2 linked regions of the Arabidopsis thaliana genome follow. The protein of the gene in region 1 purifies or fractionates together with the protein of each later gene. This does not show direct contact. Each region holds a gene or a part of one and is shown in the gene's direction. Other genes may lie near its edges. The genes, in order: ABCI13 and AT1G27695.

Region 1 (12,469 bases):
CAGCCACAAAATCTATCTTCTTAGGAGGTGGCCCCATATCAAGAGCACAACCGTCATCTTCTACATCAGCAGTTGCAGCCGCAGCTTCAGCACCTTCTTCATCGATCTCGACACAAGCTTTATGGTACATTGACACTGAATGCAGTACTCCCACTTGATTCAAAACGCTTGTAGCAGAAAAACCGAATTCGATCTTAAACTTTGGAATTCTAAATTCCTCAAGTTCAACTTTGTATCTCGGAATGTGACTATCCAAGAATCCAGGTGTAGATGCTATTTTCTTCAAGAGATAATCCAATCCATCTTTCTTGTCAGGGAGATAGAAATACATTGAGAATTTGCGGTTGGTATCATCACGGCCTCGTCGGTAAGGACCTTGAAACCGTTATAAGCTCTTACTTTTTGTGTCTCGTAGCTGGTCATGAATGGCACAGAGACTGTAGTGCCATTGACCATGTGGAAGTCTCTGTCTTTTGTATAGTACTTTTCAAATGGTCTCTTCCAAGCTCCCTTGAAATACAATGCGTTTGCGTAAATCTTGTTGGTTCGGCTTGTCACAGATTCACGAGGAAGAAGATCTTTGATGAGATTATTGGTGTGATCTTCAACCCATGAATTCACCTCCTTACGCACTTCTTCAGCCTTCAAACAAAAAAAACACATATTGGATGATTTTTGAAAACAGTCTCCTAATTCGAATTATGATTTGGGAATCAACATACATTACGAACTATTAGGTTTCCAATTTGACTGGTTGAGTATGTTCTTTAAGTCAAACAGCTATTACACACTTCATCTAGAAACACCAAATAACGTTTCTGCAAAACCCTAATTATATTTCTTCGAAACCCTAGTTTCTTTTTTGCTGTTAAAGTGGAAAATTACCTTTGATCGGAAATCTACGGGAACGTAAACAGCCTTGAAGAAGTTCTCGAAGAGAGCCTTGTATTTGGGATCAATCGGTAGTGATTTCTCAATCCAGAGGCCATTCACCGCCCTCATCTTTGGGCCGCCACTAGCGCTGCTGTCGGCGTAGACGATGGATGATAGTTCTCGGAAGACGGATTTGAGCTCATCGATTGAAGAAGATCTGAGGAAGGAGAGGATTTCACCGGCGACTAAGCCACCTCCGGAACCAGCGGCGTGCATGGTGATCGCAGAGTTTATTGACGCCGGCGAGAAGATGACGTTAGATTCCGACTCAGAAGATAAGACGTGCCTCCCAAGGATCATCGCGACGTCGTTTTGCTTCTTCATAGCCTTTTTCACATTCATCTTTGGTCTCTCCAACTAGATAGAGAACTTGCAAAAGGGTGGAGGATTATGCATGGTCTATGGAGGGACAGTTATATATAGTGAACAAATCCATTAAGAAATTTTTAATTATTATTAGGGTTTCTTGGAAAACTAGTCACTTTGCAATCCAGGTGTATAAATCAAACACTTAAAAATGACTACTTTGCAAATTGTAAATAGTAATATGACTACTTTCCCAAATATGTTTGAAAAAATTAAAATGATTACTTTTCACTTATCTCAAATTATTTTTACAATGGAATATAAATAGATTTTTCTATACTAAACCTCTGTAAATTAATACTCGATAAGTTCCACTTCAAAAAACGAACCAAAGGTCATATTTCATCCATGCATGTTCGAACATGCAAAGAGAACTTACTAATAATGTTTGGTCCCAAATTCAAGTATTCTCTGGTTCTCTTTGCATGGATGAAAGAAGATGGCCATATTTTTATAGGAATGTTCAGAAGGAGAATTCACAATGTGGAGAAGATAGTGCTACTGGTTTATATTGAAGTCAGGTTAAGGTTTATGATAGTTTCAAGGACATTGATGCGGACTAATTGGCATCAGATAGTCGTGCTTCCAAGACTAATATCAGGCGTAATGGGTTTTACTAATACGATTATGAAACAGCCTCAAGAAAAAAGGCAAAAAAATCGTATTGGAGCAAAAAAGTCGAAGAAATATCACGAATATGTGTTTTCGTTAGCGAATAAGGCGTTTTCGTCCAAAACGCATCGTGAATCTTATTTTTCGTATTTTTTTCAGAAAATGGCTCACATATCTGCTTGTGTAATAATTTTGGTTCTGTAGTCTTGTATAACTTTAACACTTTAATTTCGATATAATGGAATGATTTTAAAAGGAAAAAAAAATAATAAAAAAGAAGTAAATAAATCGATTTTTATTAAATTAGAAAACAATTTAATTTTGGATTGAAAAAAATTAACGTACTAGTTCAAAACGCCAAGTTAATATCTCGGATAGTCCTACTTTCTCATGATTCAGTTCTTTATAGACCATCTAAATCAATCCGTCTATGGATCTAAAATCGTTCTTGAAACTAACATGATGAAACGGTCCCTAGATAGGTTGGCCGAGGCAAAGAAGAAGAAGTCAGCTCTTAACTCTAAAAACCAAAAGGAAAAAAAGAAGTCAGACCTTACTCGTTTTGTAAAGATTTAGTCAGCGAAGAAGTCGACTAGTGTTCGAGTGGGGAAACACGTTGTCAACTCTTAAGTCTAAATCTTTGACCCCAAAAAAGAGAGCAAGTTGTCCACTATAATTCTGTCTTCTTATGCAACTTTCATTTTTGGCCACCTAAAGTTTCAAGCAAAACAACAAAAATGATCTTTTAGAATAATTATTATAATAATAACGACGATTAATGAACTCTATATATCTCACAAAAGAAGGACATGTTTGCAATCCCAACCAAGAAGATAAACACCTTAGCAAATTCAAAGAAGAATATATCAAACATCTTTTGTTTCTAAGAAATAAGCTCTCTGATTATGTCGGGAGCATCTTCTGTTTCTTCTATTTGTTCCTCTAATGTATCATTGATCCCTACGGGACCTCAAGTGTTCATCAATTTCCGGGGGAAAGATTTACGAAAAGGCTTCATGAGCTTTCTTAAGCCTGCTTTGAAAAAAGAAAAGATCAACGTGTTTATTGACGAACAAGAGGAGAGGGGCAAATACCTAATCAGTCTTTTTGATACGATAGGTGAGTCGAAAATCGCTTTGGTTATCTTTTCTGAAGGATACTGCGAGTCACATTGGTGTATGGACGAGCTGGTGAAAATCAAGGAATACATGGATCAAAACAGACTCATAATCATTCCAATATTCTACAGGCTTGATCTCGATGTGGTAAAAGATCTTACAGGAAAATTTGGCGATAATTTTTGGGATTTGGTAGATAAATATCAACCTGAACCAAAAAAGCTCCATAAATGGACGGAAGCTTTGTTCTCTGTTTGCGAATTGTTTTCCTTGATCTTACCAAAACACAGGTTTTTATTTTTCCACTTTTATATGTTCTTATTACTTGATAAATTAAGTGTTATCTGTTTAACTGTAACAATTTCTGTTCACTCATTGACATTTTACTCTCTTTTCTTTGTATCATAGTGACATTTCGGATAGAGATTTTGTAAAGTCAATCGTCAAGGCTGTTAAAAAAGTGCAGAAGAATTTCTTCCAACGAAGAAATGGAGAAATAGAATATCAAGATTTCTCAGTCCCTGCATGTAAACTCACTATCACTATGCACGAGTCACCAAAGTAAGTAGTGCCTCTCTTACGATTTCATTTAGGAAAATTAATGATATTCTGATGAAACATACATTGCTTCAGTGGTATGTCATGTGAAAGTATTGATCGAATAGCTAAGTTAAATCATTTTAGCTACTAGTATTTCCACAAAGTAATAAATAAAAAAATGCTAAAAGCTTGTGTAGTAGATTGTTAAGTTTTACTTTTATTATATTTTTAGTACATCTCTATCATATTTTAACTTGTATAAAATGTCTACTATATTTTCCTTCATCATTTGCTTTCTAATTTATTATTGGAAAAAGTTCAACATTTTCTTCTTAAGGATAGATTAGAAACTGTGACATTAATTTGCATGAAAAGATTAGATCCCCTAGGTCTCGTTTCCTGATAACTTTTTTTTTTTCATTTCGATGTTTCTATTTATGTACAGTGAGGAAGCCGTTCAAGTTACGGTGCTAAATGAATTTTACCAGATGAAGAATCAGTCACCAGTGCCCTCATACGAGGTCCTAATTTACATTTGCTGTCTTGTTAGTTGATTTTCTTTATATATGTTTATTGGTATCATTTCATGAACTGACATGGAGATTTATATATCGACAGTTCAAATTTTGGGTCGACCTTACGAGACCAAAGGGTAACGTTTTCATGATTGACGCAAGAGATCTTTCCATTGCATGGTCAGAGGACTCCAACCATTGGACCTGGCTCCCTCTCCCAAACCAAAATTCAAAGTAAAACTTCTCTTAAAAGTATTTCTTATATAAATTGAAAGAAATATCTTAAATCACGAAAATATATACCTTATAACGATAATATTTCTAGATTTATTGTCTAATACTAAGCACAATACTTTCCAGTGAATCAGTGATGGAAATTGCATTTTTGAAAAGTGCTAGCTGGCTAGACGTAGCTGGAAAGTTTGACACTCGATATTTGACCCCGAGGACAAGGTACGAGGTGGTGTTCGTAGTGAAGTTAGAATACACATTCGAATGGGAGACACTAGTGAAGCTAAAGCTAGACTTGCCGAATACTTGGGAGAAACCGCAAGAACAGAGTGTGGACATGTTTGACTACATAAGTGACCAATGGCTCGATATTCCAGTTGGAGAGTTCACCACATCGAAGAAAAACGTCGGGGAAATCTCTTTTGCAATGTACGAACACGAGTGCCAACTGTGGAAGTCAGGCCTCTTCGTCAAAGGTGTTACAATTCGTCCCAAATACTAAGTCATTTTATAAGCATGTATGTTGTTGGTCTGAGATATATATAGTGGAAATGCTCGCTTTGAACCATAATCTTAGTTTCACCTCCCAAATGTTTGTTACAATGTTACTTGTGTAGATAGTTTGACCGGTTTCAAAACTTATACTCTATTTACTCTCTTCTGCATTGGTTATCACATCCATAACCACCAAACTATTGAATTCTATAACTGACCAAACCCAAACCGAATTTTTAGAATATCCGAACAGTTCCCGACTCTCTATCCTATTAGACCCGAAACCGAAAAAAAAGAACTGATTGGGACGAGTATCCGAATGCCCAAACCTACCAAAGTTGTAGGCCTAGAGATAATCCTATCGAAAAATGACCAACAACATTTTGCAAAATTTGATATTCAACCGATTTTAATTAAAGTCCACAATAGTCATCCATAAAAAATATTGTTTACAATGATAAGGTGCGGTTCGATACTAACTCTATTTTGGTATTCGGATGATTGATCAACAACATTTTGCAAACATTGAAAAGAAAACGTAAATTTCGTTTCCTAAAAAAAAAAAAAATTCGTTTCCTCACAATATAATAAATAATTTACAAAGAAAAAAACGAAAAATGGCAATGTGACTCACTCAATCGGTGACTCGCTATAGTCTGTGAAGAAAGGCCAATTTCGCCATAAAGTTCACACCTTTGATCTCCTTTGTTTCTGGGTTTCTCCTAAATCATCCAAATTGGTATCGAATTTGCCCTTCTCCGATTCAATTTCTTCACGATCTCAAAACCCAGAAGAAAGAATCATGCTTTCGTTATCATGCTCTTCTTCTTCTTCTTCGTTGCTTCCTCCGAGTTTACACTACCACGGTTCTTCTTCTGTTCAGTCCATCGTTGTACCAAGAAGGAGTCTTATCTCGTTTCGTCGGAAAGTCTCTTGCTGTTGCATAGCTCCACCTCAGAACTTGGACAACGATGCCACCAAATTCGATGTAATAATCTCACGATTTGCTTCTTCTAAAGTAATTAAATGGATCACTGTGGAATCTGGACTTAAATAAAGTACTGATATTGGTATCATTTTGGTTGCAACTTGTTTGATAATGTGATGATATCTCATATCTGCAGAGTCTTACCAAGTCTGGAGGAGGTATGTGTAAAGAGCGAGGGCTTGAGAATGATTCTGATGTTCTTATTGAATGTAGAGATGTCTATAAATCGTTTGGGGAGAAACATATCTTGAAAGGTGTTAGCTTTAAGGTATTTTGTTGTGTTTACAGTGATGAAAGAAGGCTTATAGATTTTGAAAGGCACACAAAGACACCACACAAAGACACCACATTCTAACCAATTTTTAAGTATGCAGATTAGACATGGTGAAGCTGTTGGGGTGATTGGTCCTTCTGGAACTGGAAAATCAACAATTTTAAAGATTATGGCTGGTCTTCTTGCTCCAGACAAGGTCTGTTACTGTTTCTTCTCTATATGGCAGATTACAACCTTTCAGGTTATGGATTGTTTCTGATGATTGGTATGCAGGGAGAAGTTTATATACGAGGAAAAAAACGAGCTGGTTTGATAAGTGATGAGGAAATATCAGGACTTCGTATTGGCCTGGTAGGTGCTGTTCTGGAGATGTATTTCTCATAAGTCGTTGAGTTTGTATCTAAATGGCTTTTTGTTTTCTGTCTCACAGGTATTTCAGAGTGCAGCTCTCTTTGATTCACTATCAGTTCGTGAAAATGTTGGTTTTCTACTGTAAGATGTTATTCTTTAACGTCCTACATAACCTCATTTCTAGCTAAAACATTGCTGATGTTCTTTCGTTTTCAGTCATATTGATTAAACTTTTCTGTGGTAACTAATCACAGTTATGAAAGATCAAAAATGTCCGAGAATCAAATATCTGAGCTTGTGACACAAACCTTGGCAGCTGTTGGTTTGAAGGTATCTCAATTCAGTACAACTTTCATAACATAGGCTAGTTAAGTGTACCTAGTCAATAGTCCACATCCAGCTTATTATTGCCTTTTGTTTCTAATAAGATCAGGGGGTTGAGAATCGATTACCTTCTGAGCTATCTGGTGGAATGAAGAAAAGGGTTGCTTTAGCTCGTTCACTAATTTTTGATACAACAAAAGAGGTCATAGAGCCAGAGGTAATCTTAATATCTACTTAAGTTCATGAATGTGTTTCTTCTTTAGAGGCTTGACTCCTGCATCTGTATAGTTATTGATGAAACTTAAAGTCATCATGTGGCAAAAATTAGGAATTCATTTATGGGTTTCACTGCCTTTTCTTAGGTGCTTTTGTACGATGAGCCAACTGCTGGACTTGATCCAATTGCATCAACTGTAGTTGAAGATCTTATACGGTCTGTTCACATGACAGACGAAGATGCAGTTGGAAAACCTGGAAAAATTGCGTCTTATCTTGTTGTTACCCATCAACATAGCACCATTCAAAGAGCTGTAGACAGGTTCCGCTTCTAGTCCATATTACAAGATACGTTTTTGCAGCTTTTGCTTCATCCCTTGAGTAATATTTGTTTCTTCTATTCAGGTTATTGTTTCTGTATGAAGGAAAGATCGTTTGGCAAGGAATGACACATGAATTCACAACCTCAACTAATCCAATAGTTCAACAGGTCCCTTCTTTTCACATGTTCACATCTAATTTCAACATTGAAGTACTTGGGATGCAGTGTTAGTCATTCATTTTTGTTGTGTATCTCGCAGTTTGCTACAGGCAGCCTCGATGGACCAATCAGATACTAGGGGAGGCAAACCGAGCCTAAAGAGGGACACTAACCGATAATAGGGAACGCAAACAAGTAATGGCTGACATACACCACATGGCTGGATCAATTGGTTCAATACGATGCTACTTGTAAACACTATTTTATCTTAGATGCATAGATCAGAAAAGCATTGTAAGTTGAGATTTCATTATGCATCAATGAGAATCTGGTTTAATGTGCCAAGAACAAGACCTGCATTCTCAAACATATACCCCAACAAAAATGAAACTTTTAATTGACACTTGTGAACCTCCAAAACAGTAGTAACAATTGCATATATACATAGAGTAGAAGAAAAGAAAGATTTGTCTTTTTAACTACCCAACTTGAAAGCATCAACAAAGAGACCTAAGCAAACACCAGCTTTCCAAAAATTCATAAACACAACAAAAGACTGCAACTTCCCTGAAAACATTGAAGAAGACGGTTTCTTATACATAAGCATACCGATTCCTTCGATCGCAGCAACGACGATTCCGGCAACAAGCACATCCCAATCACCAGTCTGTCCAAGAATAGTAGCTAGTGCATTGGCAGTGTAGAAACCAAGAAGCAGCAGAAATATCTTCATTGGGAAGTTTTTTCTTGCAGAGTTTATCTTCCCAAGTAACTGTTTGCCTCCTGCAATCGCAATTCTACCTAACCGAGTGCTACCGAGACCGGTTCTGTCTCCATTCATCTCTTGCCCTTCACCACTATCTCCAGGAATAGAAGAACCAGTGTCTAACGCAAACGCTATTTTCCGGTTTGGTCTTCTTATCTGAAAACTATTGGCAAAAAATGAAGAGACTTTTCAATAACCAAACCAATGATTATGCCCAAATTCAATAAGCCAATCAATGATTGTGCAGAAAATCAAAACGCAAACGCAAACGCTACCTTTTCATGGGATAAGGAAATGAAGTGAGAGTAATGGACGAAGCTTTTATTCTCCTATGGAAGACATTTATCATAAAGGAGAGACCTTTTTCAATTTCTAGAACTGGGAAAACGCGTGAAGCTTGAATTTGACAAGCCATTAGAACCAGTCTCGAGTTTTCTGAGATTTAGGGTTTTCTTTATATTACGTCACAGCGATCTACTAGACACAAAACGAACGAATCTTAACGGATCATATCCACAAGGAATATGAAAGAACCAGATTGATCTAAGAGGAGAATGCAAGAAGCTTGGCTTGAAGGAATCAATGGAGATTGGTGAAGATGAGTGATGATTGAGAAACAATGACAAAAGGCATTGAAGCTTTTTAGATTTTCATTCTGTTGAAAAAGACATTTTACTCCTTCTACTCTTTTTTTTGTTCTGAATTTCAAGTTTTACAAATTTTGGAGGACGATTAATCAATTATAATAAATTTGGTAATTCCACATATTATTTGAAAATCTCACAACTATCAAAACCTTTAGTCTCGCTCTCTTCTCTCTCTAACATTCTTCAGAGAGGGAGACTTTATCCTTATTCTGCCGTTCGGACGTGGTCCGATATCGCCGTTAGTTTAGCCGTGACACGGCTTTCCGTTGCCGCGTTCTTTGTCGTCCGGTTTCATGCCGGCTTATGTACCAAATCTCCGCGATGGTCAGCTCTCGTCTAGCACCGCTTAGCTTCTTCAGCAACGGTGGCTAGCTCTTGCCCGGCACGACCGGCTATTCTAGCGGTCATGGCCGGTTTATGTTCTTCTTTAATTTCTGAATTTTGTTTTAGTTTTGCTAATAATCTCATCGGATTTATGTTGGGGGTAATAATCTGTCATATCCTCGATGGTTCTTTTCCCTCTCTATCCTTTGAGTTTTCAAGATGGGTTTCGCCGGATCGTTTTTTGAACTTAGGATTTACATAATGGTTTCAAAGAAATTTTTCTCTTTTGTTGAAGGATTGAAGATTCTTCCGTCGTTTATCACGATTCCTTAAGCCGTTATCTTTAATTTGGAGCTTTGATGTTTTCATTCTGGTGCAAAACACAAGAATCATCTCACCGGAATCAGCTCAACGGCGAAGGTTGTTGCCGGAAAACTTTTGATTATTCATCCAGCGTGTGACGTGGTATATCCCGGTTGTCGACATGTGTTCATGGATGGAGTTCCGATAGAATTTCTTCTGCAGAAGGTTATCTAATGGGCCTTTTTTGGGCTTTATGTAATTCCAAAGTTGGAGCTTTTGTTTAAGCTCTTGTATGATATGATGATGTTTAATAAAACTTATGAGACAAAAAAAAAAAAAAATCAAAACCTTTAGAAGTTTTATTTTTCAGAATCTGATTAAAGTATATTATTGCTTATCTAATTCTGTGTTCCAACTTTATTTTAGTAAGAGGTATGATTTCCTGCCAAAAATAATAATTAATATTAGAATCTGGTCTAATCATGCATATCTCTTTATAGCTAGCTTCTGTTTTTAAATCTTAATTTTTTTGTCTAAAATTTAAATTAACATTACTAAAAGGTAAAAACAAAGAGATTAACTAGATTTAAACTACCACACTCTAAATTCTTATGCAAAACGAAATGCATTCATCCATTTTTTCATATCTAAGGAAGAAAAAGGTGGAAGTGATTGTTCCATCATCACTACCAGACGACGTCATAGAGGAAATCTTCATAAGACTTCCAGTGAAAGAACTAATCCGACTCAAGTTTTCTCTTCCACAAGAATGGAGATTGAGGATCGAGTCTCATGGTTTCGGCCCACGATTCCACATATATAACCCGAAACTGCACCCCATGTTTATCCTTTTCGTAAAATACATCTTCAAGTGTTTATACATTTACTCCAAGTCTGGTTTCATTTTGTGTTTTACTATTTTGCTTTATCTTGGTTTACCTTTCCTAGTGCTTTTGGGTGTGATGTTCTTACTAGGTTTTTAAAATAGTCATTTATAAACAGATGTCTCTTTCAGTGTTAAGAGATGAGACCTAGTTTGAATAGTGAAAAGAGAACATGTTTGCTTGGAGATTCTTGCTAGACTTTTGAACAAATGTTTCTATCGCTTCCGTGTCCATCACATTGTTGTTGAGCTCGTTCAGACACTGACATTGGTTTTAGTCTTTTAGACAATCTGTTTGGAATCGACTTCTCTTCTCAATCTAACTTTCTTTGCTGGCATTTTACCAGCCAGGTTCACATATTTGGCAAATGGTGGTCGAACTTGGATTTACCTAAGTACAATATTCACAACACCATTGGCTTCAATTGGAGCTGCTGGCTCTAGAAGTCGATCCCTTAGTCTTCCCGCCTAAGCTCTTTGAACTTGAAGTTCGATCATATTCATATGCACCATGTGAGCTCGCATCCAATAGCTCATTCTCCACCGCTCGATATAGTTTTCCGTGTCACTGTTCATTCATAGTAATAGTAGGTTATTAGCTTCTTTCATCACCCAGAGCCAACTAATTCAATGCATAACCTTCTTAAGCATCCTCAGTACTAAGTTTCAGAGTATAACTTACTTTCCTTGAAACTACAAGACTCGAACCGGATTCGTTACTTGAATCTCTTTTTCTGGATTTTGTATATTCTAGAATAATAATAGAAATCAGCAGGCGTTACAAAAATTAGATTGTCTGGACAAAAGATTAGAAAAAAACTTACAGAAGTTTTACAATTATTTTGTAAGAACTTATATATAACTCACCTCTCATGTTTTCACTTTTTGGTCATTGGCAAATCAATAATAATGGCCAATCTAATCCAATTTATTGGACCCGTTTATTCTAATACGAGAAACATACAAAGTTACACGACACTTGATCATAATTATGACCAAAAGCGACGAAGCATTACTATTACAGTCTTTAATGCCAGTTTCTGGCATTTCACCGGCCATGTTCACACATTTGGCAAATGGTGGTCGACCTTGGATTTACGTAAGTGCAATATTCACAAGGCCAATGGCTTGAATCGGAGCTGCTGGCTTTAGAACTCGATCCCTTAGTCTTCCCCCCTAAGCTCTTTGAACTTGAAGTTCGATCATATGCATCATGCGAGTTCACATCCGATAGCCCATTCTCCAGCGCTCTAACCAAGTTCTCAAAATAGTTTTTGGTAACACTGTTCGTTTCCAGGTTAGAAAATGTTATTAGCCTCTTTCATAAAACGCAGTGCCAACTATGTGAACGAAAACTTCCTTAATTTTCTCTAAATTTTGTTACTCAGCACTAAATTTCGGTTAGTGACTCAGTCGTAACTAAATGTGCTTGAAACTGTTTCAGAACAGCTACTAAACATACCATGTCACTAATTTGGATTATCAGTTTGTTATGTAGGTTATGAAAGTACCTTGTTAAACCTGCCAGTTTTGTGCGGAATTCATTAAAATCTTCACTTGGACCTTTGGCATCTAAGTATGGTAGCAGCTCTTTTTCAGCACATTGATGAAGTCGTTCAAGGCCCGACTCAGCTTCGCCTAAATTCATGGTAAAATAAGAAGAAGTAATATAATAAAAATTTTGCATAATAAAGCATGTTACAAACAAAAGTCCTTATACCTATGAAGTATGAACAAATCGAAATTAGTGGTCAAAGATGGGATTGAACCCTGACCAAATTGGTTAAGATTTGGATTAAGGAGCTTGATCAAATTCTTATGAGTGACGCTTGACTACATAGTCCACATGATCTCACATAGGGAAAATCCTAAACCATTCCCAATTGTACTAAGACTACATGGTGTTCTATAAGAATCACGACAAGATCCATCAATGCACGTATGAACTACTGATGGATCTAACCATCACTAAGTACTCTCCCTCAATATAATATCCAACAATTGGAAAAGACCATAGATTAATGGTTGTTTAATCTCTTATTCTCATCTTCATGCATAAACCTATATTTGGAAATTTTAAATGTGAGAGCTAAATCAAGTTA
Region 2 (11,045 bases), about 15 Mb from region 1:
TTTACCACCGAAAGAAGCTGCGGAGTCCCCATACATTGCATCGATGGGTGTTTACGTATTTAGAAAAGAGGTTTTGCTAAAGCTTCTAAGGTCAAGTTATCCTACATCCAATGACTTTGGTTCTGAAATTATCCCGTTGGCCGTAGGGGAGCATAATGTTCAGGTCTGGTTTTTCTTCATTTTTTGTTTAGCATATCACATCATCAATCAATATTTGTGTTTCCTCTGACCTTTATTTATTAACTTGCTGCTACATAGGCATTTTTGTTCAATGACTATTGGGAGGATATTGGAACCATAGGATCATTCTTTGATGCCAATTTAGCCCTCACGGAACAGGTTTTCACCGACTCTTTATTGTTTCATCTCCAGTGCAGGGTGGTGACTCAGTGAAACCTAATCATGCTATTTGTTTCTGTTTTGGCAGCCTCCTAAATTCCAATTCTACGATCAAAAAACACCCTTCTTCACTTCTCCAAGATTCTTGCCACCTACCAAAGTTGATAAATGCAGGGTACAATATCTTGAATTCGATTATCCCGTTGTTTCAGCTAATGATTCATCGATCCTCATGTTGTAAAGTGTATTATGGAATTGCAGATACTTGATTCCATAGTTTCACATGGATGCTTCTTGAGAGAATGCAGTGTGCAGCACTCAATCGTTGGCATACGATCACGTCTCGAGTCTGGAGTAGAGCTTCAGGATACAATGATGATGGGAGCTGATTTCTACCAAACGGAAGCTGAGATCGCGTCTCTTTTGGCGGAAGGGAAAGTTCCGGTAGGGGTTGGCCAGAACACAAAAATCAAGAACTGTATCATTGACAAGAACGCCAAGATCGGGAAGAACGTGGTCATAGCGAATGCAGATGTATGTTTTCAAAGATCTTTTTGGTTATTTTGAAGAAATGGTTGTCTGATTTTTTGTTGTGTTGGGTTGTGGCAGGGCGTGGAAGAAGGCGATAGACCAGAGGAAGGGTTTCACATAAGATCAGGCATCACCGTTGTGCTGAAGAACGCCACCATTAGAGATGGTCTGCATATTTAAGCTTTTAAACCTCTCTTTAGGAGCAGTGTATGTGGCTTCTTGTGATTTTGTAACGAGACTAGTTACGTTCGATTAATAATTTAATAAAACAAGAGGCACAAACGAATGACAGTTTTAGCAACTTTAAACGTGATCGTTAATCTTGGTAAATCTTAATGATTACGTAAAACACAGAGAGAAACCAATCACAAACAGACGAGAAAAAAGCATGTGTAAAATTCTTCACTCTCACGATCACAAGTCACAACACAAGACTTGAGACTCCCATCCATATATACACTTTACAAATTATAGATATTTCATTCGAGTTTTATGGGACTATAAAAAGAGTCATAAAACTCTTGTCTCTTATTGCAGTGAGAATGAGAGAATAGGTTCTGAAGACTAAATGGTCTGATCTTTAGAGAAGGTAAGGACCACTAGAAGCTACCTCACCAACTCAATTAGTGTCAAATTAATCCAAGGCCAACAGTCCTGAAAAAGTCTCCTAACTTTTTATGTCTGCAACTGTATATGGGACATCCCTAGTTTTCTTAATTTTGAATCTTGATTCTTGAGTTAAAACAAAAACCCAAATATACAAGTATGCATGAAACGTAAACTTTCAGAGAAGGTTTCTCACATTAAGTATCCTTTGAGTTAAGTATATAGTCCATAAGACTGTTTTTGGTTTTAATTTTAGTATTTGTGTGTTTGGGCCTCCCAAAGATTGTTGGCAGAAAAGTTGTCATTATCACTGGACCAAACTCGCATGCTCAATATTTATCATCACCAGTTATAATTACATACACCGACTGCTTTTTTAATTTTATTCATTTTATATTCTCTCGGCCTCATGGCACCGTTACTTCCCGCCTCACGTTGACGATATATGAGAGAATATTTTATCATCATATCATAGTGAAGATAATAGCACAAAATCACAACACAAGTTTTTGGTAAGTAATGATCGTCCGCTGTAATGATCGTCCGCTCAATAGGGTTATTGGTAAGTAAGAATGAACCTGAGCTATAATAACTTGATATCAAAATCGTGTGTGATTGTAGAAAAAAAAAATCTTATAAATGATTATTTGTTTACTTTTTGTCAAACACTTATATATAAGGTATTTAAAACTAGATATAAGGTATTTTAGACTGGTAAAACAAAACTAAGAAAACAATTATATGAACTAAATATGGACGACAAAAAAAAAAAAAAAAACATAAGAAAAGTTATTTTTTTTTCTTTTGTCGTCCATAATTATTTTTCTGTTTGAACACACAAAGGCGCACTTGAGAGTTTAGAAGTACCATGGAAAATGGTTATTTGAGGTTAAAGATGAAAATGAGTAAGAAGCAACCATATAAATATATATCCATTCTAATTTGGTCCCATGAATCAAATTGAAAACTCCAGAAAAGGAAGACTATTTTTAATAATTTTGTGTTATGTTGACCTTTTGTGACTTATGCTCATGCTCATGCACACCCTACTCGTCTATATTGTATATTGCTTTTAGTAATATAACACCTTTTTTTTTTTGTTAAAATAGTAATATAACACTCAATTGCTTTGTTTTGACTTTAATTAATTTCCATCTCTAAGAGCATGCCTTTCGTGTTCCTTAAGGCTAATTGCTCACTAATTTATGCTGCTTTTGAAATAAAGTATTATATATATATATATATATAATGATTAACATATTATCAACTTTTATGAAAAAATCAAAACATATTAAGCAACTCCTTTTAACTCGTTGTTGTGGTCACAAACTGTAACAAGTTTTCTTCTTATCCAATGTGGAACGAGTTAGCCCAAAAAAAAGACTTGAGAGAAAGAAGACAAATATGAATGTTTTATGTCTTATAAATGGAATGTAAAACCATTTCAATAGAAAAAAATAACAAAAAAATTCTTATACCAATTTTCATAATTAAATCTTATCCCGAATCCCATTTGCCTGTAATAATGAGACTTTTAAAAGTTTTTATTCGAGAAGCAGTGATTCATAATTTCAACGATGTCGAGAAAAAAAATGTGTATAACCCTAAATAATAGCCAAAATAAGAAAAGAATAATTAAATTCCAAAAGAAATGGTTAAAAAAGCGAATTAACGAATTAAATTCGACATTTATATTTTGCAACCTTCCCTTCGACGCAAACATTTCTCTCTTTTTTCTCTAATCACCAAACCTGCGTCTTCTCTCTCACACTACTAACAACACTTCCTTCTTCTTCTTCCGACTATGGATAAGAAGCACGGCTTGTTCTCCAAGTCTAATTCCCGGCGACCACGATCCAAGAGTCCAGTCAGAAGCGTCTCTCCGATCATCATCCGTCGCCGGAAAGGCCGTTACGTCACACAACCGGACCGGCACATGTCTGAGATGCTTGCTCCGGTTATAGAAGGTCCTGATCCAGACGCTGAAGACTCCGGAAGCAGTGGTGATTACTCTAGGTTCGAGAGACGTTGGTACAATTGGATGAAATGTCAGCTTCCGGTGGCTCCGCCGTCAGTATCGTCCTCTTCGGATTTCAAACGAACGGATCTGAGGCTTCTCCTCGGTGTTCTTGGCGCACCTTTAGGTCCTGTGCACGTTAGCGCTCTGGATCTCCTTCCACACCTCAGTATCAAGAATACACCTATGGTGAGCTCTTAATTCACTGTTGTCTCCTCAAAATTAGGACAGTGTTGGGGATTTGGAGTTAATCATGTTGAATTAAGCTCTTCTGTGCCATAATCTAGCTTGAATTTAGCTGAATCTTCTTTTAGTTGCCTACTAATTACGGAGAAAGACTGCGCAATTAATTGAGATTTATCAAGTTTTATCTCTGCTTTAATGTGTTGAGGGTAAAGTCTAATGACTCTTACTAATACTTGAATTTTCAGGAGACTTCCTCTGCTCAGTACATACTTCAGCAGTATACGGCTGCATCAGGAGGTCAAAAGCTTCATAGTTCTGTGCAAAATGGATATGTTATGGGAAGAATCAGGACGATGGCTTCAGAGTTTGAGACAGGCTCAAAAGGTTCAAAGAGCAAGAATAATTCGTCAAAAGCTGTTGAGTCTGGAGGATTTGTGTTGTGGCATATGAATCCTGATATGTGGTACATGGAGCTTGTTCTTGGTGGGAGCAAGGTTCTTGCAGGTTGTGACGGGAAGCTTGTGTGGAGACACACACCATGGCTTGGACCTCATGCTGCAAAAGGACCGGTTAGACCATTACGACGTGCTCTGCAGGTTAGGCCTCTTGTCCCAAGGAAGCCTTCTCATACACTTTTCTTTGCTTGCATAACTGAATTGTTACTGTTGTCAACTTTCAGGGACTTGACCCGAGGACCACAGCGTATATGTTTGCAAATGCAAGGTGCATAGGAGAAAAAAAGATCGATGGAGAAGACTGTTTCATTCTCAAGCTATGTGCAGACCCGGCAACACTCAAAGCTAGAAGCGAAGGGGCATCAGAGACCATAAGACATACGTTGTTCGGTTACTTCAGCCAAAAAACCGGTCTGCTTGTTCACTTAGAAGACTCCCAGCTAACCCGAATCCAAAACAATGGAGGCGAAGCGGTTTACTGGGAGACGACCATCAACTCATACCTAGAAGACTACAAACCTGTCGAAGGTATCATGATAGCTCACTCTGGTAGATCCGTGGCTACGCTTTTAAGGTTTGGAGATATGTCATCAGGACATAACACTAAGACCACAATGCAAGAAGCATGGGTCATCGATGAAATCTCGTTCAATGTCCCTGGCTTGTCTATAGATTGCTTCATTCCACCTTCAGAACTCAGATTTGATTCCCACGTTGAAGACTTATCTCAAGGCCCCAAAATTAGGACATTGCACGGCCATAAAAATGGTTGATGTGAAGAAGCAGGAGATCAATGTGTATAACTCATTCAAAAACAAACCCTAGACCGGTTATTTTACTTTTGCTATTGTCGAAGCTAAAATTCTTGTAGGAAGTTTCGTTGAAGTTGTAAATAGACAGCAGGAGAAGTTCGTTCTTTTTGCCGCATAATGTTAGGAATGTGTAGTCTTAGTAAGGTCAGTCCAATTTTTAGTTTATAATATTGTTTCATATACTATGATAGAAGCTCCCATCTATTTCACCTAATAGCATATAGTATAAAGAAATATTACTTGGTCATCCATACCAATTGGAACTGATGAATACGATCTTCCTTGTATTGTATATCAATAAATTCATAGTGTGAGTGTAGTTTCTTTTGTAGCACAAACTAGTAAATGTTATTTCTCCTCCTACTGTCTATTTCAAACCGTTGCTCATTAGTTTACTCCAAAAAATGGCCATAAGTACTTATCTGTTTGTCTGTCTCAACCATCCAAATCCTATTTGTGAGTTGGATTTCAATGGGACATGAGCATTTTTGCATATGGATTGATCCATTTGCTCACTAGATCGTTTTATTTTACTGTTGACTGTTGTTGACCTTGAGAAAAAGAATTAGGCCGGTTCACTGTTGACCAAATTCTTTTACATAAAATCATTTTGAAAATAATCCCGGTTCATTAGTTAAACCGGTTCGATTAATTTGGTACGTCTCTAAAACAAATCGTCTTCACCTTTCTTCTCTTGCTTTCAGGGCTTGCGATTTTAAGTGGGGGAGGTAGAGAGAGCAATCTACCAGATTCACCGATTACCAACAACAAACAAGGTATCATCGGGTAATTCAGATTCGCAATTTCTGCTCATTTGAATTTATAGATTCCTAAATTGGTTTCTTTTTTTTTCTTGTGAAGATCACTATGGTGCTCTCTGACTTCACTGGAGTCGGTGTTGGATTTGGTAATGCCCCCATTCGCAATTGTTTTCTCCTTTTAATTTTGATTGGAATCGTAATTTAGTTATTGGAATTCATAGGGTTCGGTGTTGGTTGTGGATTTGGCGTTGGATGGGGTTTTGGAGGTTCGTTCTCAACTTCTCTCTTTTTCTGCTTTTACTTGAACAAAATCTGGACTGAATTACAAGATAATTCTATTGGAACAATTCTCTTGCTAGTTGCTATGGGATGTGCAATGCACTCTGCTGTGCTTGTTTAGTTTTGTGATCATATTGCTTAATGTCTCTTATAGAGATTATCAACTCCTACATATCATCTTTACTCAAATGCTTCTTCTTTCCTAGCTAATGGTTGCTTAAACGCATAGCTAGTATCAGTTGCGCTTACATTTTGATGGATTCATACTATTTTGCAAACCTACTGAATTGGAGATTTCCGTTGCTTTCATGCAGGAATGCCTATGAACATCTTAGGTGTTGGTGCTGGTAAGCATTTCAAACTTCTACTTCAAATATCCCACACTCGCATAGATACACACCGAGCAGGTTTTTCCTAAATTCTAATTACGTAACTTATGCGTCTGGTATTTGACAAAGGTGGCGGTTGCGGGGTGGGTTTGGGCCTCGGGTGGGGTTTCGGGACTGCGTTTGGGAGTCACTATCGTTCATCTAGACTTACATTTCAAGGCATCGAGTTAGAGACTGCCGATAAACGGGAGGAGGTGGTGGCTAACATGTCCAAAAACTCCACTTAAGCAGTCGTGTGCTTCAATACTCTGCTCGGATTGATTGTAAAAGAATTCTGACACCTTTTCTTATTTCTCAATGAAACGGTTACTTCAAATAATCCAATACGAAATGCATTTCTGTATTCTGAATTGTCATTTTTAGAAGGTTCCACTTCAATCTTGGGTTTAGTCCCAAATAATTCTACAATGGTTAATAGGATTGGTGCCTAAGAAAACAATGATTGCTCAATGAAACCCGTTTCAAATAATCGAACCAAAAAAATGCATTTCTATATTACAAACAACCAAAAACAGTTGGAATTTACTGTACAGTAAAAATGTGGATTGCCAAATTCGTCTCTTTCGCTGTTACACAGAAGATGAATGAACTCGAACCTTGCTATTCCAAACCTCTCTTCTACATTGAATGCACTGCAACTACCACTGCAATCAGAAAAAAAAACAATTTATCTCAAAACTCAAAAGTGATGCAGTAAGCTTTGCGTTCTAAACATAAATGATTCAGAGTTCAGTAAATCTTACCAATAAGAAAAACTAAAAGAATAATCCAAATTGCAGCGTGAACCGATTTACTATATCGCATTCGATACTGAGACCGTTGGAGTTGCCTCTGTAGAGCTCCATACCAACCATGAAGCTGCTTTTCATAACAGTCCTCCTCACACTCCATACAACTCTTGCCCCTCTCTGAACATCCATTCATATCTTGCTGAGAAACAAAAAAATAAAAAGCATTTCTTAGCAAAGATTTTCAAAGCAGGAGGCAAAAATCTTGCGGTTGGAGATCGATCGATCAAACTTACTTGGTTAGCTTGGATAGGTAATAAAGCAGCATCAGAGTCTCCTTGACGATCTAAACCCTTCCACTTTCTATTGCAATGCTTGGACACAGGATCCATATAATTCAAGAATCCAGAGAAGCTAGGTACTTTCCTCGGAGGTCGAACCACTGGCTCATCACAAGATTTCTTCACTAAACCATCATCAGAAACCGCAATGTTCCAAGCACTGAATTCAGCAGCACTTGCAGTCCTTCTATGTCCATTAGGATTTGCTTTAGCAGATTCAGATGGACCAGTCAAGAAGAGAGCAAGCTCATTACGATCATCTTCATCCAAACGAACCCATCTCGGTGTTCCTTTCCCATCGGATTGCGCAGCTTCCTTGAGAGATTTCTCGATTTTCGACACTTGAGCTTCCATTACGAAAGTAAACTCACGATGCCTATCTCTAGTTTCATCACTCAAACGATTGTCATAGCTAGATTTGACAGCTTTTTGGAATTCATCTAACTACACCAAAAATATTACAGGTTTCATAAATCAACATTACAGATTAAGAATCTGAGTTCTGAGGAAAGAAAGAAACCTGCCATTTGGTGGTTCCAAGAGCTGCGTGAAGATCTCTATGAAGCTGCTCAGAGTCCCATACTTTTGAAGAGTCTCGTTTCCCATTGAGCCATGTCCTGTACGCTGACTCCATCCTACACATGAATCGAAGATAACAACACACATTGTGAGATTTCAGATCTAAGACTTGATTTGATTAATCAGAAATCGTAATCCCAAATCCGAAGCAACACGAATCGAATCGTCGACATTGCATCACCAACAATGAGAGTTTATGGTATCACAGATTCAAAACGAAAATTGGGAGATGAGGATCCGAAAAACGCAAACCTGTCGGCAGATTCCTGAACTTCTTCAGCAGCGGGAAAGAAAGGATCTTTCTCCCACCGATCCAAACTCGTCGTCATCACTTGAGCAGATGAAAAAAAACAAACTAATTTCCTAATCCTTGGAAGATGAGAAGAAACCCAGAAATGGAGGAAAATGGAGAAGATGGATGGATCGAGAAAGATTTCAGAGAAGAGAGGGAACGTTCGTTCATCGATTAGCCAAATTACGGCCTTTCGTTACACACACGTGCGAAAATTAGTACTATTAATGTTTGGTTTATTCAATGTGGTTCTCAATAAACCGGTCCATAATCTCTAATTCTCTTCATTTTGGTTAACGCTTTATTTATGACAGCATAATTACCAAAAGAACTAGTAATCGAAAGTATGATTAAAGGAAAAAAATATGCCATGATCCTACTTTTGATTACTTATGACTTATCTATCAATTTTATTCATGTTATAATCATTTTATTACAGTTTCATAATTCATTGTTTCCTCTGGAACATATGTGTGATAACCAATATGTTCAAATCAGATCAATGGATTGGTACACGAGTCACTCCTTGTTTTCTTTTATTTAAGAAAAAACTTGAGACTGCAAAATGAATAATAATGAAAAAATGCAGCAAAAAGTGTGGGAAAAATCATGCGAATGAGAACCATCACCTGTTACACCTTTCTGGTGAGTCACCATATATGCACCTCTCTCTCTCTCTACTGGCACGCCCATGCCAACCATCACCGTTGTATTATGTCCCAAGATATATAAATAGTGGTGTGTGTTTGTGGCTGTGTATTATTCAAACACACAAGTCCTTTTACTTCCTTTTTCAGATTCTAAGCAAACAAATTGTGTCACTAAGCAGCCATCATGGCTAGAGTGATCTTGTGGTTTCTTGTTTCCTCGTATCTTTGTCTCATCGGTCATATGATTGCCGAGGCTGCAAGAGAAGGTGCCTCCATGAGGAAGGAAGCACACTCCAGTGGGATTGGAAGAGAAAGTAAGCTCATGAGGAATGAAAAACACTCCACTGAGATTGGAAGAGAAAGTGCGTCCATGAGGAATAAAGCACGCTCGAGTGAGATTGGAAGAGAGAGTAAGCTCATGAGGAATGAAGCACACTCCAGTGAGATTGGAAAGAGTATCCGACACGTAACCGGATTTAAGGGTGAACTCACAGCTGGTGGCTACGGCGGTGGAGGCCCGGGATATGGTGGTGGTGGATACGGTCCAGGTGGCGGCGGTGGTGGTGTTGTAATCGGTGGTGGATTTGGTGGAGGTGCCGGGTATGGTTCAGGTGGTGGTTTGGGTTGGGATGGAGGCAACGGAGGTGGTGGTCCAGGATACGGGTCAGGTGGAGGAGGTATTGGTGGTGGAGGAGGTATTGGTGGTGGAGTCATCATTGGCGGTGGTGGTGGAGGATGCGGAGGTTCATGCAGCGGAGGCGGTGGTGGTGGAGGAGGATATGGACACGGCGGAGTCAGCACGAAGGGATCAGGCAAAAACTAGAAAAAACATGCAGCTTGCTTTAGGTAGTGAAAGGAAGAAGAAATAAGGATGTACTTTAGCATCTTGATCATGTTTAGGAGTTTGTAATGGCATTAGTTTTAATGGAATAAGAACCTTTCTACAAAAAAAAATAAAGAATTGGTCCTATGTCTTTTCTTGGTTTCAAACATCCGAGCAGATTCTATTGTATACGCGATACAATAGCGTCGATCTTGACATCTGAGGCTCCTTTTCCACCACAGCGATCACATCCTTCACAGAGATTGACCGGACTACTTTTGGTAAACCTTGGTTCTTCCCAAATTGTGTACCACCTACATAAAGTTCGAATATGCAATTAGGAGCACGAAACACAAGAATAACCAGCAACAGAACTGAGAGATTTACTCTTTCAGATCATAGAAACGGGATTACCAATCTTACCAGAAAGTTTCTTGGAGTTTCTTCCTGGCCCTGGAGAAGATCTCTGACGTGCTTCAGCCATAAGTTTCCATTTTGAAAACCTATCATCTCCTCCAACGGCTGCACGAACAGCAACATTTGCAGCCTTGGCTCTCTCTTTATCTTCGTCCTTCTTATTTGCCTGACTTGTGATCAATAAACCTCTTTCAGTGTACGTATGTGTATATCTCCAAAGGTTTAGGTAGTTGGCTCAAGTTCTAAATACCTTCACTTCGTTTGAACGTTGGTCTTCTTTTTCAGTATCATTTTCTTTGTTCTACATCAATGAATATACAAAAAAAAAAAACTAGACATTACTACTGATAACTAAGACAAATAGATATTAAGCTCAGGACAAACCATTACCTTTTCTTCTCCAGAATGTTTCTTTTCCCATTCCTCTTTCACCTTCTGATTCATTTCATTAATTTCTTTCCGGATATCAGATGTGATAAAAGTCCGATTTCTACACTTCTCTGCATCAGTCCGCTGCAAAAGCTCTTGTAACTTCAGAAAGATTTAGGTACAACAAGATCTAAGGAGGCATGAGAAGAGAAAGTAGACTGACCTGCTTTGATATTCGTATTATATTAAACAGTAGTCCTCGCATCCTCTCCTCCACACACTGAATGCGCAAAGCCATGAGAAAAACGAAAACAAAAACAGGAAATTGAAGGCTAATAATTCCAAGAAAAGGTGTTAACATCTCACCAGAGACAAGCACCGCTCTACATCATGGTCTATATGCTTTAAACCACTTTTTCCCACTGTCATATATGAAAGCATACATAAACTTCTTCTCCAAGTGATTCCAAG

What was found.
Region 2: the proteins of ABCI13 (region 1) and AT1G27695 purify together in Arabidopsis thaliana (affinity purification with western blotting, with the first as the bait; one study listed by BioGRID). This does not show direct contact.

What each region holds. Positions count from the first base shown.
Region 1 is NC_003070.9:24,289,750-24,302,218, forward strand, and holds ABCI13 (non-intrinsic ABC protein 11), read left to right. Parts: upstream 1-5,419; 5' UTR 5,420-5,612; coding exon 5,613-5,798; intron 5,799-5,934; coding exon 5,935-6,066; intron 6,067-6,172; coding exon 6,173-6,268; intron 6,269-6,345; coding exon 6,346-6,423; intron 6,424-6,502; coding exon 6,503-6,564; intron 6,565-6,677; coding exon 6,678-6,753; intron 6,754-6,856; coding exon 6,857-6,964; intron 6,965-7,109; coding exon 7,110-7,285; intron 7,286-7,368; coding exon 7,369-7,453; intron 7,454-7,544; coding exon 7,545-7,583; 3' UTR 7,584-7,846; downstream 7,847-12,469. Other genes in the region: PP2-A5 (phloem protein 2 A5), read left to right, coding at 2,817-3,319, 3,438-3,590, 4,015-4,090, 4,188-4,318, 4,445-4,817; NPQ7 (antigen receptor-like protein (DUF565)), read right to left, coding at 7,920-8,373, 8,486-8,625; AT1G65425 (F-box/kelch-repeat protein), read left to right, coding at 10,108-10,325, 10,719-10,839; ARI8 (IBR domain-containing protein), read right to left, coding at 11,416-11,650, 11,879-12,005. UniProt on the Arabidopsis thaliana protein: ATPase transporter involved in lipid transfer from the endoplasmic reticulum (ER) to plastids, and necessary for thylakoids formation. Not involved in transition metal transport pathways.
Region 2 is NC_003070.9:9,633,401-9,644,445, forward strand, and holds AT1G27695 (glycine-rich protein), read left to right. Parts: upstream 1-5,623; 5' UTR 5,624-5,722; intron 5,723-5,746; exon of another isoform or gene 5,747-5,807; 5' UTR 5,808-5,813; coding exon 5,814-5,853; intron 5,854-5,928; coding exon 5,929-5,973; intron 5,974-6,300; coding exon 6,301-6,333; intron 6,334-6,444; coding exon 6,445-6,602; 3' UTR 6,603-6,804; downstream 6,805-11,045. Other genes in the region: APL2 (ADPGLC-PPase large subunit), read left to right, coding at 1-163, 259-339, 428-514, 601-873, 949-1,050; AT1G27690 (lipase, putative (DUF620)), read left to right, coding at 3,281-3,682, 3,925-4,275, 4,359-4,907; AT1G27700 (Syntaxin/t-SNARE family protein), read right to left, coding at 6,994-7,019, 7,119-7,305, 7,400-7,888, 7,965-8,079, 8,276-8,352; AT1G27710 (Glycine-rich protein family), read left to right, coding at 9,150-9,788; TAF4B (TBP-associated factor 4B), read right to left, coding at 9,951-10,102, 10,212-10,371, 10,456-10,506, 10,596-10,718, 10,798-10,854, 10,941-10,996.